Linked DNA regions of Oreochromis niloticus. The protein of the gene in region 2 interacts with the protein of the main gene of each other region in a pairwise test. Links are inferred from orthologs where the notes say so. Each region holds a gene or a part of one and is shown on either strand. Other genes may lie near its edges.

The links.
Region 1: the proteins of ciao1 (region 2) and ciao2b interact in binary tests that used the Homo sapiens proteins (3 or more experiments, as listed by UniProt). The two-hybrid records come from large-scale screens. The link is inferred for Oreochromis niloticus from reciprocal best matches to the Homo sapiens genes CIAO1 and CIAO2B.

The regions. Positions count from the first base shown.
Region 1 is NC_031978.2:7,117,063-7,124,741, reverse strand, and holds the start of ciao2b (cytosolic iron-sulfur assembly component 2B), read left to right. Parts: upstream 1-4,659; 5' UTR 4,660-4,895; coding exon 4,896-5,022; intron 5,023-6,059; coding exon 6,060-6,139; intron 6,140-6,414; coding exon 6,415-6,540; intron 6,541-6,683; coding exon 6,684-6,729; intron 6,730-6,835; coding exon 6,836-6,936; 3' UTR 6,937-7,679.
Region 2 is NC_031977.2:12,291,514-12,299,391, forward strand, and holds the start of ciao1 (putative cytosolic iron-sulfur protein assembly protein ciao1), read right to left. Parts: upstream 3,005-7,878; 5' UTR 2,724-3,004; coding exon 2,585-2,723; intron 2,473-2,584; coding exon 2,324-2,472; intron 2,232-2,323; coding exon 2,120-2,231; intron 2,032-2,119; coding exon 1,943-2,031; intron 1,853-1,942; coding exon 1,651-1,852; intron 1,549-1,650; coding exon 1,482-1,548; intron 252-1,481; coding exon 17-251; 3' UTR 1-16. Other genes in the region: tmem127 (transmembrane protein 127), read left to right, coding at 3,903-4,137, 4,236-4,400, 4,494-4,804; gatd3l (ES1 protein, mitochondrial), read left to right, coding at 7,246-7,362, 7,448-7,500, 7,585-7,698, 7,789-7,878. UniProt on the Homo sapiens protein: Key component of the cytosolic iron-sulfur protein assembly (CIA) complex, a multiprotein complex that mediates the incorporation of iron-sulfur cluster into extramitochondrial Fe/S proteins.

The DNA of each region.
Region 1 (7,679 bases), on a different chromosome or scaffold from region 2:
ATAAGAGATGACAAGTGAGCCTGCCAAAGTATAAACCTGTTTCATCTTCCTATGTTTTTACACCTCTCTCACTTCCTCTGTAAGACTCCATGTGTCCCTGAAACCTGTGCTGCTCCCCTCCTGCAAAAAAAATGACGAAATTATTAAGTAACTGATCCAAAGGAGGAGCCATATCATACTATAGAGTCCCACCAAACCTGCGCTTAAAGAGCTGAGCTTACATCAGCTTAAACAGCCCATGAAAGACATTTACTGTATGCGGTGCTGTTTTGTCGCTGGATGATATTAAATGAGACACACAAAACGCTGAAGCCGCTGTTAAAAATTGTGAGCTAGTTTAATTTACACCTTCAATAAATGTTCTGCCACATGCTTTTTATAAATAGTTGTTCAAATGATAGTCTCTTTGGCTGGTTCCTTCACCTAATTCCCCCGAGGGCGAGGTAAAAGCAGAAAAGAAATTCTTCCTGACTCTTCGAAATTGCTTTCCAAAGTAAGTCATCTTCTGCTGTCACTTTGTGACTGTTGCAGTCACTCTGAATATGCACATTAATGTGAAACAATGAGCAAACTCCTGAAAAGGAAAATGTGAACATTTCTAAAAGGCTGCAATTATAAAACACATAGTTATTAACTTTTCAACTGGAACAATACATCATTCTAAAAGACTGAACAATAATTTGTCAGAACTGTAATAATGTGATACTTTCCTCTTTAAGAGGAAAATGCGACCTGAAACTTAAAAAGAAGCATGATCTCTCATCCATTCTCATCTCACAGTATGGTTATAAACCATGAGTTAGATAAATAATTTAAAACTAAAAGATCTTCATTTTGCAATTTCATGTTTAATTCAGTGAATAACAAAACATAGGTTTAGCATGAGTGAACACATAATATAAAAGCCTATGTTCAAACTTCATTGTTCACTCTGTTTGTAGCTTTTGTAAAGAGAAAAAAAAGTCTAGTTTCTATAGTTTGTATTTCTCCTCCAAAAGTTTACCTTTGACCTTGTATATTTAATTCAGTATTTCATAAATGATGAAAGGCATCTCATTTTCTGACAAGACACAGAAACTCTCTGTGAGACTGCAAAGTTTGCCTCAATATGTATAATATATTTTATGTGCTCCAGTGGCCAAAACCCATAGTACAAAAGGTCATGGCTTTCTGGGCTTAATTACAACTTGAATGATCAGAATTTACACAATATTGGTCAACTTTTTTTTAAATGAAGGTTCACAAATATGGCAGCAGTGTGTCAAGTTAAACCTAAAATGTACAGGTGGAAATCACTAACCCGGTAAGAAAAAATTAGCTTTTATGCTGATGTGGCAGAGATTTTTAAAGCATTTAAATGATACAGTTTCACTGATGTCTTTTACTTTATAAACTTAAACCATGATCCTAATAATTTGCAAGTAAAGGTGACTGCATGCAAGACAAGACTTGTTCTCCTGGAAGTATATTTGTTTTATTTTGCTTTTATTTCTGTTACAAAAATGAATAAATAAAATGATAAAATCTCTCAAAATTTTCCAGGATTTGTATTCCCACACTGGTGACCATTTGCGTAGCTGCCTGGATATGCAGAGAGAGGGATATGAGGGATTCAACCTCCAAAAGGCCATCAGTGCAATGCCCTCCACAGGTCAAATAATGACTTGTTGCAAAGTTGACTCGAACAGAAAAGAGAGCAAGAGCAAAGCTCACCATTAACAGGGAGAAGTGTGAAAAACATCAAAGATCAAGAAAAAAAAAAAACAGGAGAAGCACAGAGAGTAGCTGCACTGGACAGTTTCCTTTCGTGTTTGATAATCAGTTTCCCTTCACTACAAAAGTTCTTTGCATGTTATGATTTCTTTCTCCTCAGCTGCAGGGGCAAAGCTACAGAACTAACAAGTAGCCGAATCATGAAAAATAGCAGTCGACATTACTGGTTATTCAACCTATTTTTGCCTGGCCTGAGGTGACAGTAGACAGCTATTATACACAGACATGGGTCTACAAAGCTCTGCCTGGCACCTATGGACTACCATCACACTAACATGCAGGGTCCTTTAGTGACTGTCTGCTTCTTGCTACTGTTCTTACATCACATAGCAAGAGTGAAATTTACACTCCTAATGTCAAGCACTGACCTGCGTTCTGGTGTGACTGCTGTCCATCAAGTGGATAAATCACATTTACATTGTCTTTAGTCTTTATTTTAATGCCATGAGCTATGTTGTATTAGACAAATGGTCTCAAGACTGAAACTATGAGTTTCAGTAAAGTTACAGAACAGGGTCACTTAGTAGTGATTTCCATAGTCAATAATAATGTTCCAAACTTCCTCTAGCATTAACATCAGCACAAAAAACTGTGCACAGGGGGCTTCATGGCATGGGTTTCTACAGCCAAGCAGTCCCCGTAGGTGTCATTTTTGGCTCAGTACTTTTGTCCATATAATGCCCACTTTCTCACTCTAATAGGAATCTCAGTGCATAGTTTTGGGCAGTCCTCAGAAAAAATGAGTTACCGTAATTTAAAAGTTGACTTGAGAGGGAAGTTCAAGCCTTCTATGCTTTTCCATTTCTCTGCACCTAATTTTTGCACTGCATATTTCAAAAAGCTACAAATACAGTCAAACCTAAAGACCTCTTTGCAATAAAAATTGCTCTATAGTCCTCATAATCCATTTTTTGGGAATACATTGTGACATTAAGGAAAATAATCTACCCATATGTCTGCATATTGCTAACATTTGCTGCTATTTTTATGGCAAGCTGTGAACTGGTTGTCTGCAGCTTTGTTGTCTCATTATGCACATCAGGTGTGCTGCTCCAGGCTCAACACCACCAGTGGTTCTCTATAAATATGGAATCCCACCATGCTCTGAACACAAAGACCAAATGAGGAATAATCACATAATGCACACAGTGCATGGCAGCAGCAAGCTGCTCTCCACAGGTAGCTCCATTTTATTATCAGTACTGTTGAGAATTTTAAAAAAGACTTCTTTAAATTCAGAAGCTTAAGAAACCCATGTCTGACAAACAGTGTTCATTTTTCACAAATGTTTTGACTTCAGAACGGGATATTATTTCCTTCACATTCACAATGTCAGACCATGAAAAACTCACCTCTCTGGACTCTCTACATTATGCAGCAGCAAACTCTTACTTCTCATTCTGATAGTGCACTGCATTAATGCGAGACATAAAACTTTCCTGTTTGTGCCTCATTTATCTACATGCTTCTAAACTTTTCATCCCCAAATGCTCAAGGTTTTCTAATCAGGTGTTCTGATTAGACATTAAACTTGTGAGATATTTAAGACTGGTAATGTTGATATGATTTTAATTTAGTAGCTCATTAAGATTTTGCCTTTTATAATGAAAATTTTCAGTCTTTTTCATGTAGTTGCAAGACACTGAGGTTTTGGAGTCATCTGTGCTGATAATGTAATTCTTGCATAAATTGGGCTTAGAAAAAATGTTCACTGCTGGTCATATCTAATTTCACAGAAACAACTATTTATAAATAGCATTTTACCACCTGAAACCAGAATTGTGAATCTAAAGGTTGTTAGTCCATATTGTCACAGTTAGGAAAATATTTTCGCCCTTTTCAACTGTCGCTGCCCTTATCCATGACATTTTTATTAAAACATGTGTCAGCGGCCGTGTGCAGTCTCATTATATGCACATTTTTTTCAAAAGGTGAACATATCAGGCTGAAGTAAAACTTCACATCAACCACGCTCCACATTTCCAGTGACTGCAGCAGTTCATTAAGATTCTGACTTGATAGAAGTAGTTGATGGTGATGGCAGTTGTGTAGTACAGAAATGAAAACCATATAATAATTTAATTTTATAAATAAAGTGCTTCCATAACCAGTTTGTTTTAATTTTTTCAAAGATAATCATTGCAATGAGTTTGTAGGGGCTTAACATCAAAATGGTGAAATTACTGTGTTTAATTGAGTTGTAGATACCAGTTTAGCTTTGAATACAGATACATAATCTCATTATCATGCTCGAGCTTTGCTAACAGAGAGGAAATTCTAGGAAACTAAAGTGAGGACTCATAGCTAGCCCACCAATCTAAATTACCACTGGTGGCTTGTCATAAATTTATCAGGATACACTTTTTACTCTGCATAGATGAAAAAGCAGAATCTCTCTTCTTCCCGATAATAGGTCAAATGTGTTTGAAAGAACATGCAAATTAGATCTGATTCAGGTGTGCACAAAATAAAAGAACTGTGAGAAAAAGAAATATGTTTTTGTTTAAAAAAACAACAACACACAAACTAAAATAAATTTTAAAAAAAATAACGTAATAACGTTACATGTAAAAAGTCATGTGAAATTAAGATTATTGTGGTCAGTATATTGTTATTGCAACAACACTTCTATTAAAGCGTATTTTGTGCGTAAGGTTGTTGGTGTCAAGTGCTAAAATGGGCGGTATCTGCCATCTGCCGGACAACCAGGGAGACAAATGCCAGTAAAAAAAATTATATGTACAGTCAAAGCCTTCAAAATGGGAAGCCTGGGAAAATTTGAACATAACAAGAGAATAAGCAAAGACTATGAAAGGAAATTTAAATGGCATTTTTTTTTTAAAACAAACAAACATCTGTATAGCTTACTCCGTCTCACGTCCGAAAAGGCACTCAGTTAACTGAATACGTATCTTACTGAAAGAATGCGTATTTAGCAGGAAAGAATTTGCGGGTACTGTTCCTTTAAGACTGTAGAACGTTTATGTTTTGGACTCTGCGGCTTTCCGTTATTCCAGGAAGTACTTCATGAGGGCGCTAGTTGTACAGCTCGTTTGCAGCGGCAAGCTCTGACAAAATACGAGGTTTTTACTGTTTAACGTGGACTAAAATAAGCGCTGAACATGTCCGAGGGGACCCGCTTGGAGAATGCAAACCCTGTGATTTTTCAGCGGTCGGGGGAGAGAGTACAGACGGCATCCGAAGAGGATGAAGACGTCCACGACCCCATCGACGACAGAGAAATATTCGATATCCTGTTTAAATGTTTTACTGTGGTTTAGAGTGGATTTACACCTTAGAGATATGCCCTTTATCCTTTTTTCTAATGATGTTTATGTATTATATTATTTGCCTGACTTAAACGCTAATACCAGTGCCATTCAGCTAGATAATGAGGTGAAATCGAGGGAGTTAACAGCAGTTTAAGAAGTAGCCCGATTGTATCTGGGTTTGCCGACAGGTAATAATAGTCAGTTTCTTAGTATTGAAAACTTAACTAAACATTTTGAAGTCAACTGTGTTTTAATAGGTTAGTTGACCATGGTAGATTAAACTTATAAATACCGTTAATGGTTTGGGTTACGCAATTCGTATTCTCAGGGATTGTCTCATTTTTGTAAATATATTTTATTATATAATTTGAACAATTTGACAGTTTGTAATTGAGTTATTGTTAAGCTGATGTTAGTATTAGTTGAATGATTTCTTGGACCTATGTACAGTGGCTATGCAAACAGCTTAAAGTCAAAGGATCAGACAGTTTATTTTATTACAAAATCGCACCTCTTTAAACAGGTTCACTTGTGGTTCATAGACTATGCTTCAATCTTTTGTACAATGAGTTTTAAGCCATTAGCTACCAGTTTGGGTTCAGGAGACACACACCATTACTACTTATGATCAGACTTCAGACTTAAGTTTTTGATGAAGCTTCTGGGCATTATACAACTTATTTTCACCCCTAATGTGTTTACATGCCAGTGATGCATCTTATTAACATTTGTTTTCTCTTCTTGTCCTTTCTTTCCCCTCCTCCCAACTGGTTATGGCCAATGGTAGTACTTTGATGAGCCTGATTCTGCTGGAGGTCTCTCCCTGTTACAAGGGAGCTCTTCTGTTCCACTTTTACCAAACACTTGCTTCACAGGCGATATCATTCTTGGCGTTTCTCTCTAATATTGTTGGATCTTTACTTTAATATCATTAGTACAGTGATTACAGTAGTGCAGAAAAAGAAATATTTATTATTTGTATTATACCGTCTTGAATTCTTTAACTAAAGTTACATCTGATCAGATCTATCAATGACCCAGAGCATCCACTGTCACTGGAAGAGCTCAATGTTGTGGAGCAAGTTCGAGTTAAGGTGTGTGGTTTTTTTTTTTTGGTTTTTTTTTTTTTGCTTCCTATTTTATACATTTTTCCTATGTTTGTAATAGTGTGAATAAGGAAATAAAAAGATGCTCTGCAACACACTTGCAGATACTTTAGTAAAGAAAATGGTTGAAGACAGTTGAATCCAACAACAAGCATTTCATTCAAAAGTATTTACAGTGAATTTCATTGTTAAAAATGAATGCAGTATGCTGTTAGGAAGATAAATTGATGAATGATGTTTATTATTTGTGTATGCTCCCTCAGGTTAATGATGCAGAGAATACTGTGGGTGTTGAGTTCACACCTACCATCCCTCACTGCAGCATGGCAACACTCATTGGTCTGTCAATCAAAGTCAAACTTCTGCGCTCCCTGCCAGACAGGTTCAAAGTATGTTTATGCATGTTTTTTCACATGACATGCACATTTAACCTTAAGCATATTTTACAGTGTCAAATTTTTCTGTGCTTTAATCTTTTGTTATTTTCAGTTGTGGCCTACATTACAGTATATTTTTTTCTATTTCCTCTCAGATTGATGTTTGTATCACTCCTGGGACTCATGCTTCAGAGGAAGCAGGTAAAACTCCATAGAGAGAAAGGAGGCGAGATGGAATTTTAGACCATTTTTACCAGTATAATCTAATGCATTTTTTATCATACTGTTTATGTCATTTTGTGTACAGTGAACAAACAGCTGGCAGACAAAGAGAGAGTGGCAGCAGCTCTGGAGAATGCATCTCTACTGGAGGTGGTCAACCAGTGTCTGTCCACCAGGAGCATCTGAACAGCCAGCCAACTTTAGCCTTGTCAGCTTTTAGACTCAGATTTTTGCAGGAGGACATGTTTGGTTTCTTTGAAAACTTGCTTTGTATCTACCAACTATCTGCACACCCCTACCCCTGGTATGAGTAGCGTGATCAGGATCATACAGGTTCTGTACATTGGCAACATTTACTGAATAAGAGTACAGAGAAAGCCAATTCTTAAATTCCCAAAGAATAATATAATCTGAGTGTAAGCTCATAACACAGTCTCGTTTGGACAAAGAAATTATTCTTCCACCTGGAAATTTTAACAGTGTGAAAATGCAGAGAAACTCTACCTGTTACATTTGTCATATACACTCACTGGCCACTTTGTCGGGTGTATCTGTTCAACTGCTCATTCATTTAATTATTAATCAGCCACTCATATGTGAAGAACTAAATGCATTTCAACATATATACATGAGAAAGGTCATCCGCTGAAGTTTCAGTGTAATTTAAGTGATTTTGAATGTGGCAAAGGTGTTGGTGCTAGACTGGCTGGCCTGAGCATGTTATAAAATGCTTATCTAGTGGGGTTTCCCCACTCTCCATCCACTTGTGGGGTTTACAGAGAATGGTCTAAATAAAAAGAGAAAATATCCAGTGAGAGGCAGGTTTTTGGGTGAAAATACCTTGTTGAAGAAAATGGCCAGACTTGAAGGCCACAATGGCTCAAATGACTACTCCTTATAAAACCAAACTATGCTGAAAAGCATCTCAA
Region 2 (7,878 bases):
TGCACTCCAGTGATGTTCATTCCTCTTCTTGGAACCTCCAAATGGCGATTTCTCCGTTATCGCTGCACGAAGCCAGGAGTCCCGCCTCCTTTGGGTTCCAGGACACGCAGTTAACATCTTGGTTGTGAGCTCTGGCCACTTGAGCAGCCAGCGAGAATACTGGCTCGTCGGGATTGGCTGTCTCATCCTCCTTGAAAACTCGCACTGCGTCATCACCACAGGCAGTTGCCAAAGCGCCAGTCAGCTGACACCTGAAGAAAGATTTAGGTTCACTGTGACGTCTAACAATGACAAATTCATGCACGTGGAGACCACATCTTTGGGATTTCTGGTGGTCAGTTAACCTCCACTTTATGTTCTCACATAATTCTCTGCATAGAGCACCACATATTCCTCACAAATTTCCCACGTGTGGGACTAATAAAGGTTATCTTATCTACTGCATTGTTACAGAGAAATTACAAGTTGTGGAACGCTTAACCACTGCTATCGCTAGACGATCTTAGAGGTGCAGTGTGTAAAAACGACTAGATGTCAGTAAATCTAAGAACAAATTCAGCTGAATTCTTTTTTCTAATAATCCTAGTTACAGTTTTCACCTCAAAAACTGCCATTAATCTGTAGCTAGTGTAAGCTGCTGATATGTCAGGTGAGACGTGCAGGTCTATTTACTTTGGAGGAGGCTGCAAAACTTACAGGGGTCCAATACAGGTCACTGAAGCTCATTTTTTATCCTATTACGGTGATACTGAGGTGAGTTGTTGAGCGATCTGCTGGGGTCGGCATTTGTGAATCTTTTTTTTGCCAATAAACTTTGAGAATCTAATGAAACACTGTAACAGCGGGAAAGTGTCACTTTTAGGACCCTCGAGCCTAACATTAGCTGGTATTAGAGGATCGCATGTCTAATCTGCCGACAATAAGTAACTGCAACAATATCAGGAATAAATTAGCATTTTCATGCATGTTTTTGTGTGTTAGAGCCCTGAGGTGAGGAAGAGGATGACATTTTTATTCAGTTACGGGTCACGCTGTTTCTTTCCTTTATGTTTTCACTTCCTTGGTGAACCCTTCTCAGATGGTAAAACATATGAATAATCTTTCATATCTTTAGTCTGAAGGTGAAAACACAAATTGCCTCCACACCACATGAATCCCCCGTCCTTTAGCATACTATATATCTGGCAAGTCTCTTCCTACATACATAAAACATGATTAGGCTGAACTGCAATCCTCATCTCGGTTACTCCATTCAAGATGGCGAGGCAACGTGGTGGCTTCCACACTTATGTATTTTTAATGGATTAAATCTAAGTTTATGAGAATGCATAAGATGTAATTACACACTAATAGATGTATGTTTATGTGCACAATGGTCTTTTTTTCTATTAAATGACTTCAAACAATGACTAATTGCACCTTTAATGATTGACTGAAGCATTTTACAAGAATGGCAGAGTACATTACAAAAATAGTCTTACCAGGAAACATCATACACCGTTCGTCCATGGTACCCAGACAGAGTGCAAACACACTTCCATGACAGATCTTAAACAGAAAAGCAGAAAAAAAAAAATACATATTGTCAATATTTTTATTACAGCATTGATTTATGATAAAACTAATTAGTCCTAACCATTGCTGACTCACCCGGTCCACTTTCAGCTGGATACTCTCTCCAGATCTTCACAGTGCGGTCATCGCTGCAGGAGGCCAGCCTCTGACCAGCCGCATCAAAACACAAACTCCACACTGTGGACGTGTGTCCCTGTAAGGTGGCCCGGCACTCCCAGTCATCATCCTCTTCTTTGTAAAGACAAATGTTGTTGTCATAGCTGGCTGAGGCCAGGAGCTGTACAAACACATGGTGAGTGCAGGGTCACGTGGTGTTGCAACTGGAGATGAAAAAACAATCATGTGGACAGATCCAAATGAGACCTACCTCCTGGGTCGGGTGCCAGACAACGTGCTTGACGTCTTGCGTGTGAGAGTTCACAACTGTAACACATTCATACTCGTCTTCTTCATCCACTGCAGAGCAGAAAGAGACAAGGTCAAGTATATAAACAGACAGTGGCGCAGATCAGTTAGTGCAATTTAGGCGCTCTTTAATACAAACCTTCCCAAACCCAGACGCTCTTGTCTCGGCTACATGTGGCTAGAAGATTCCCTGAAGGGGCCCACGCCACACACTTGACCTCGTTTTCGTGTCCTTCCAGCACAGTCAAACTCTAGGAGACAAAGTGTGGGTAACAATCTGCAAAGATGCAGCATTTCTAAGGCATGCCATTTAACACAATGAACAGGAGACCTGTCATCTGACCTCAAAGTCATCGTTCTTTTTTTTCCAGATGCAAGTGGTAGCATCAAAGCTTGCAGAGGCCAGATAATTCCCACAGGGAGACCAAGCCACTTTCCTCACGGTGCGCTGGTGTCCATCCTGCAGCACGTTCTTACATATCCAGGAGTCACCTGAAAAACGAGAGCAAGGTAAAGGGGTGAAGGATGTCAACTACTGTACTATAATGCTTTGTTATGCGACTGAGGCTGGGGGTGTCTGCGGTTCAGTTCATGGAGAGCTCACCTTCTTTCCCCCATATCCGGATGGTCTTGTCGCCCCCACATGAGGCCAGCAGCGTCCCGTTGGGGCTCCAGCTGACGAACCAGCAGCGGGAGTCCGGGTGTGCGCTCAACCTCTGAACCAGGGACAGAGCCTCCTTCATGGTCGAGCTGGGAAAATACTTCCGAGTCGCTGTCACTGACAGTTAGCCGAGAAACGAGACAGGAAATGGCCCGAAGCACCAAAAGCAGACAGAGAGCAGCAGCAGCACTACAGCCCTAAACCACAGTCAACAACCAGGGCACGGATACAAAAATGGCCGTATCTGCGCTGAACACAGTCTGTAACTAGCACCAAACAACAAAGTGCAGAAGTTCACAACATCACCGGTGAGCAAAATGCCGCCATCTTTACTTATCTAGTCCCCGCGCTGCATTGTGGGTTGCAGTTTCGTGGTCTTTTTTTTTCCCCTCGGGAAATTTCACGTAAAAAACAATTCCGTGAAATTTACGGTGTTTTATTTTATGTCGTGTTTTATTGTATTTTATTGATCTAAGGTTTTATCTTGTTTGTTCTTAACTAACTTGTAAAGCACTTTGGTCAGTCTTGTTTCTTTTAATTGTGCTATAAATTTTTGGTCATCTCTTTTTATGATTTCCTATGAAGTATTCACGCGAGCACCTTTATTTTGTTAATGTACAATGAGTGAGTTTAATAAAATAAAGAAGAGAATTTTATGTTATTGTATGATGACTTTCTGCCATAGGAGGAGTCGCCAGTAGGTGGGAGTACTGACTTTTACAGCTATCGAGTCCGCGAAGAAGAAGAATGGTATGAACAAGGAAGTCAAGTGTTTTCGAGGAAGCCAGCGGACGCTTCCTTTTGTTTTGTCTTTGTTTTTTGTGTACCAAATCTATCGTTATTTTTATTAGTATTGTTAGCTAGATTACTTTATAGACGTATGACTGTCGTGTCGGTCGCTGTTATAGTTATTTTTTGTAAAAAAAAGAAAAACTTGACGACATTTTGCGTTTACGAGAAGTTAGCTTTTCAGGCTAACAACAGAGCTAGCAGGCCTGAACCATCTGTCCATTGTGTTGCCGTCAGTCAGACACCTGAATTGCTTTTGATTAAACAGCTAGTTTTATGGTCTGTTTTAATTTGGAAACATTTGAAACCAGAGTGAACAAAGGAGCCGGGTCGCTGTCATCAGTCCAGAATTAGCTTTACCGGCTGTCGGTTTTTTGGCTGACTTGCTCGTTACTACCGCAGTGCTGTCAGGTACACTGACAATAAAGGGAAAGCAACACTATACAACAGAGGACGAGGAAATCGGATTAGGATGTATGCCCCGCCGGGTTCTACTGTCCCTGGAGGCCGAAGGAGGAGAGGCACCTCGTTGCCCAAGCAGCCGGAGCGGAGCCTTGTGTCGGCTCTTCCCGGAGCTCTGTCCATCACAGCGCTGTGTACAGCTCTGGCTGAGCCGGCTTGGCTCCGCGTCCACGGAGGAACCTGTCCGAGACAAGAGCTGGGGGTGTCAGATGTCCTGGGATACATTGACCCCAAGCTTCTGGATGGTGAGGCCCACACACAAGCTCCGTTAAAAACCCACAGCAGCAATTAATCCCAGATCTCACGTGTAATGCTCTGTGATGTGTCCGTCTGTTCCCATCAGATTACTGCGTGAACCCGCAGACCATCTTGCTGCTGAGAGTAATCGCTGCCTTTTGTTTCCTGGGAATCCTCTGTAGTCTGACTGCTTTTCTCTTGGATGTGTTTGGTCCCAAGCACCCTGCCCTGAAAATAACCCGCAGATATGCATTTGCACATATTCTCACAGGTAATAATCTTTTTTCCCCTCTTGCTGTCTAGAAAAAGACAGACAATGTGTAAATTCAATGATCTGTAACTGTCTCTTTCTGTCTCCCACCAGTGCTGCAGTGTGCCACAGTCATAGGTTTTTGCTACTGGGCCTCAGAGCTGATCTTGTCCCTACAGCAGCAGCACAAAAAGTACCACGGCTCTCTCATATACGTCACTTTTGCTATCAGCTTCTACCTGGTGGCGGGCGCGGGTGGAGCATCCATCCTCGCCACAGCTGCAAATCTTCTTCGTCACTACCCAACTGAGGAGGAAGAGCAGGCTTTAGAGCTGCTCTCGGAGATGGAGGACAGCAGTGAAACATTTCCTGCCGATTATGACATTGCCAATCAATTTCAACCGCCACCCGCATACACACCCTAATGCCACCAGACTCGCCTTTGTAACACCTTTCTCTCTCAGCACAGCTACTTAGCTTGATGGGCAAAGCCCAGCTCTTTATCAAATGGATATCTTTGCAAAAATACTCAGTGAACACAGCGTGTCAGTGCGCAGGTTCCTTGAATGACGGTGCTTGGGTGCATGAAAGCTTTCTTTAGTGGTGACAGAAATTTAGAAGCTAATTCTTACTTTCACCACTGGAGTTGTTAGTGAATTGCATGTAAATGGCTTTTAGGGATTTGGTCCTTACATGTAAAGAAAACTAAACTTGCTGGAAGTGCTCAACACGGCTCATGACAATTAATTGATGGAACAACCAGAGCTGGATCGTTTTAGTAGGATTTAGTTGAATGAGCGCTATCGGCGGTTGTTTTGCTCTCGATCGGACGTGAGTGGAGCTTTGTTTGCTTTATGGTTTTAGTTTGACGTGCTTGCCATTTGTGTGAATTTTATTTTACCGACACCTTACAGATGCAGAAATACACTGACAAGATTCTTTAAACATCTTTATTTTATATAAGATATCAGATTGGACCTTATTTATTGTCTGTGCTGTCTTTTTGTAGTTTTTGCTTTGTTCATCTTTTCACTAGTTAAATCTTTGTTCACTTCTGTACTTGAAATAAGAAAACTGTCAGAAATTGTGAGCCAGGTCTTTGGTGTTTTAAAACGAATCATGGTGTGTGTGTGTGTCCGCGCGCGCATGTGTGAGAAAGTGTGTGTGTGTGTGTAGCAATCGAGAGAAAGTGAGAAACATGTTTGTATTATTTCACAGTAAGGGTGACATTTAGTTTAAAAAACACCTCACCGCATCAGAAGTTGTTCATTATATTTCTCGTGTTTGCTTTTGAAAAAAAAAAAATTACTTGCACTTTGTGATTCCCACATGTGACCGTTTCAGTATGCATTTCCAGTGCATGAGTTCATTTGTGTGAAGACTTTAAACTTTGAGTCACCATCTAAACGAGAACATCTCACACAGGCAGAGGCTTGGACTTGTGACTGATGTTGTGATTCTAGTTGATTGTGTATTGTTCTGTTGATTCCATAATTTTCTGCATTTGTCCCTCAAACTGTCACTATAACCCCCCTTCCCTCCTCAATTTGTAAATAATGATCATTTATACATTTAAAAAAGAAGTGATCATAATAAAGGAAACCTCATACTTTTGCCTCTCGCTCGTCATCTGTGAATTAACATTGATTTATTGTGATTTCAGCAAATGCAGCCCGAAGGATCTGCGTTGATCTAACAGTGTTGTGACTTTAACATTTACGTCTGCCTGGGGTATTTCTGGTCTCGTAGTCTAGAGACTGTAGACACAACATGGCATTAAAGAGAGTAAGAGTCTTAAGGTCTAATGGACTTTAGTGGGCGTATGGTACGCCTTTTACTGTGAAGAGTTCAGAAGTATGAAGCAGTTTAAATGCTCGATCCATCCGTTTTCTTATCCATTTGAGGGTCGCAGTGAGGCTGGAGCCTAGGAGAGAGAGAGACTGGGTACGTCCAAGACAGGTCGCAAGTCTGTTGTAGGGCTAGCACAGAGAGGCAGAAAGCCAATCACAGTCACATTCACACAAATGAGCAATTCTGAATCACCTCTCACCCTACCAAGAACAGAGAAACCCCATAGAAAAAGCCCCATCTGACTGGGGGACTTGAACCCAGGACCTTTTTGCTGCTAAAAAAAAAAAAAGAGTCTTACTGGCAAAGACTGCAAGGCTTTTCCCGGATGCATAATGTGGTCAATATACAGACTTTAAATAATGAGCTAGCGTAGAATAACATATATCATGAGGCTAAATTACAGACTGTCAAGTTCTGCCACACTTCATAAATCAGATTACCTTAGATTACTTTGAACTAGCTAAACGCACAAGATTTAAACAATCCCTGTAATTGAATTGGGACAAAGGAGTAACTATAGAAAGCGGGGAAAAAAGGCTCACTCAGGCATCACATCGATTGTTGCCTTATATAAAAGACACTGTGACTGTTTTGCAAAAGTATATGTTAGCTGTTCTTCAAGTTCGCTTGTCTGCATCTGTTGCCAAGAGTTAAACTATTAAAAGGTCAAGATACTGTTTGGGTTGAAGCACTACATGTTTACATTGCTCTTCAAAGCTGAAGTGTCACTCTGTGGCCAAATGACTTAATCAGATAAATAAACAAGGTATTAATAGGAAAGAGTGTTCATGAGGAGGAGAGTAAGTCAGTCAAGGCGAACAAGAGACGGCTCTTCTCAGAAGACAGAGCTTACGTGGTAACGTCACTTAGCCCCACTCTGCAGGTATATATACGGACAACCTCGTTGACATCAACACCACGACCATTAAAAGTCTCTACGTGGCTCTGTGGTAAAACTGTGAAGTCTTTTATTTTTTAAAATTTTCTTCTACAACAGTGAGATTGAAGCTAAATCATGCTGGCAACCAGGGCTTTGCTGTCAAAACAAACGCTGGCTGTTCTTTCTCGCCAGCCTGCCTGCTTTGTGCACCAGGGTGACTACGGCAACTGGGGAAATACTAACGTTGCAGTGGTAAGTGATGCAGATCAGTCTGGGAGAAAGGAGCAGATCAACGGGTGTGGGTGTAGTTGTGATTTGGTGACTCCATGTGTTTCAGGTTTTCTCAGGATGCGGATGGTGGGACGGCACTGATGTCCATGAAGGGGTTTAGTGAGTATCACTCCTGCTGAGGTCAGGAAATGCACATGACTGAATTAACACGGGCAGATGGTAATGCACCCCTCTCGTCTTCAGCACCATGTACCACCTGAGCCGTAACGGCGCCCGCTTCCAGATGTTTGCTCCAAATCAACAGCAGATGCACGTGATTGACCACATGAGAAAGCAACCTGCCTCTGGAGAGAACCGGTAGGCCTCGAAGATGGGTGCAGTGGGCGTTTTGACTTTGTCTATGGTTACGTGGGTGCACTTTGTGATGAATTCTGTCCATCCCCACAGGAATATGATGATGGAGGCAGCCCGCTTCAGTCACGGACAGGGAATGACGCAAATGCAGGACCTGTCCAAGCTGGACGTCAACAGCTTCGA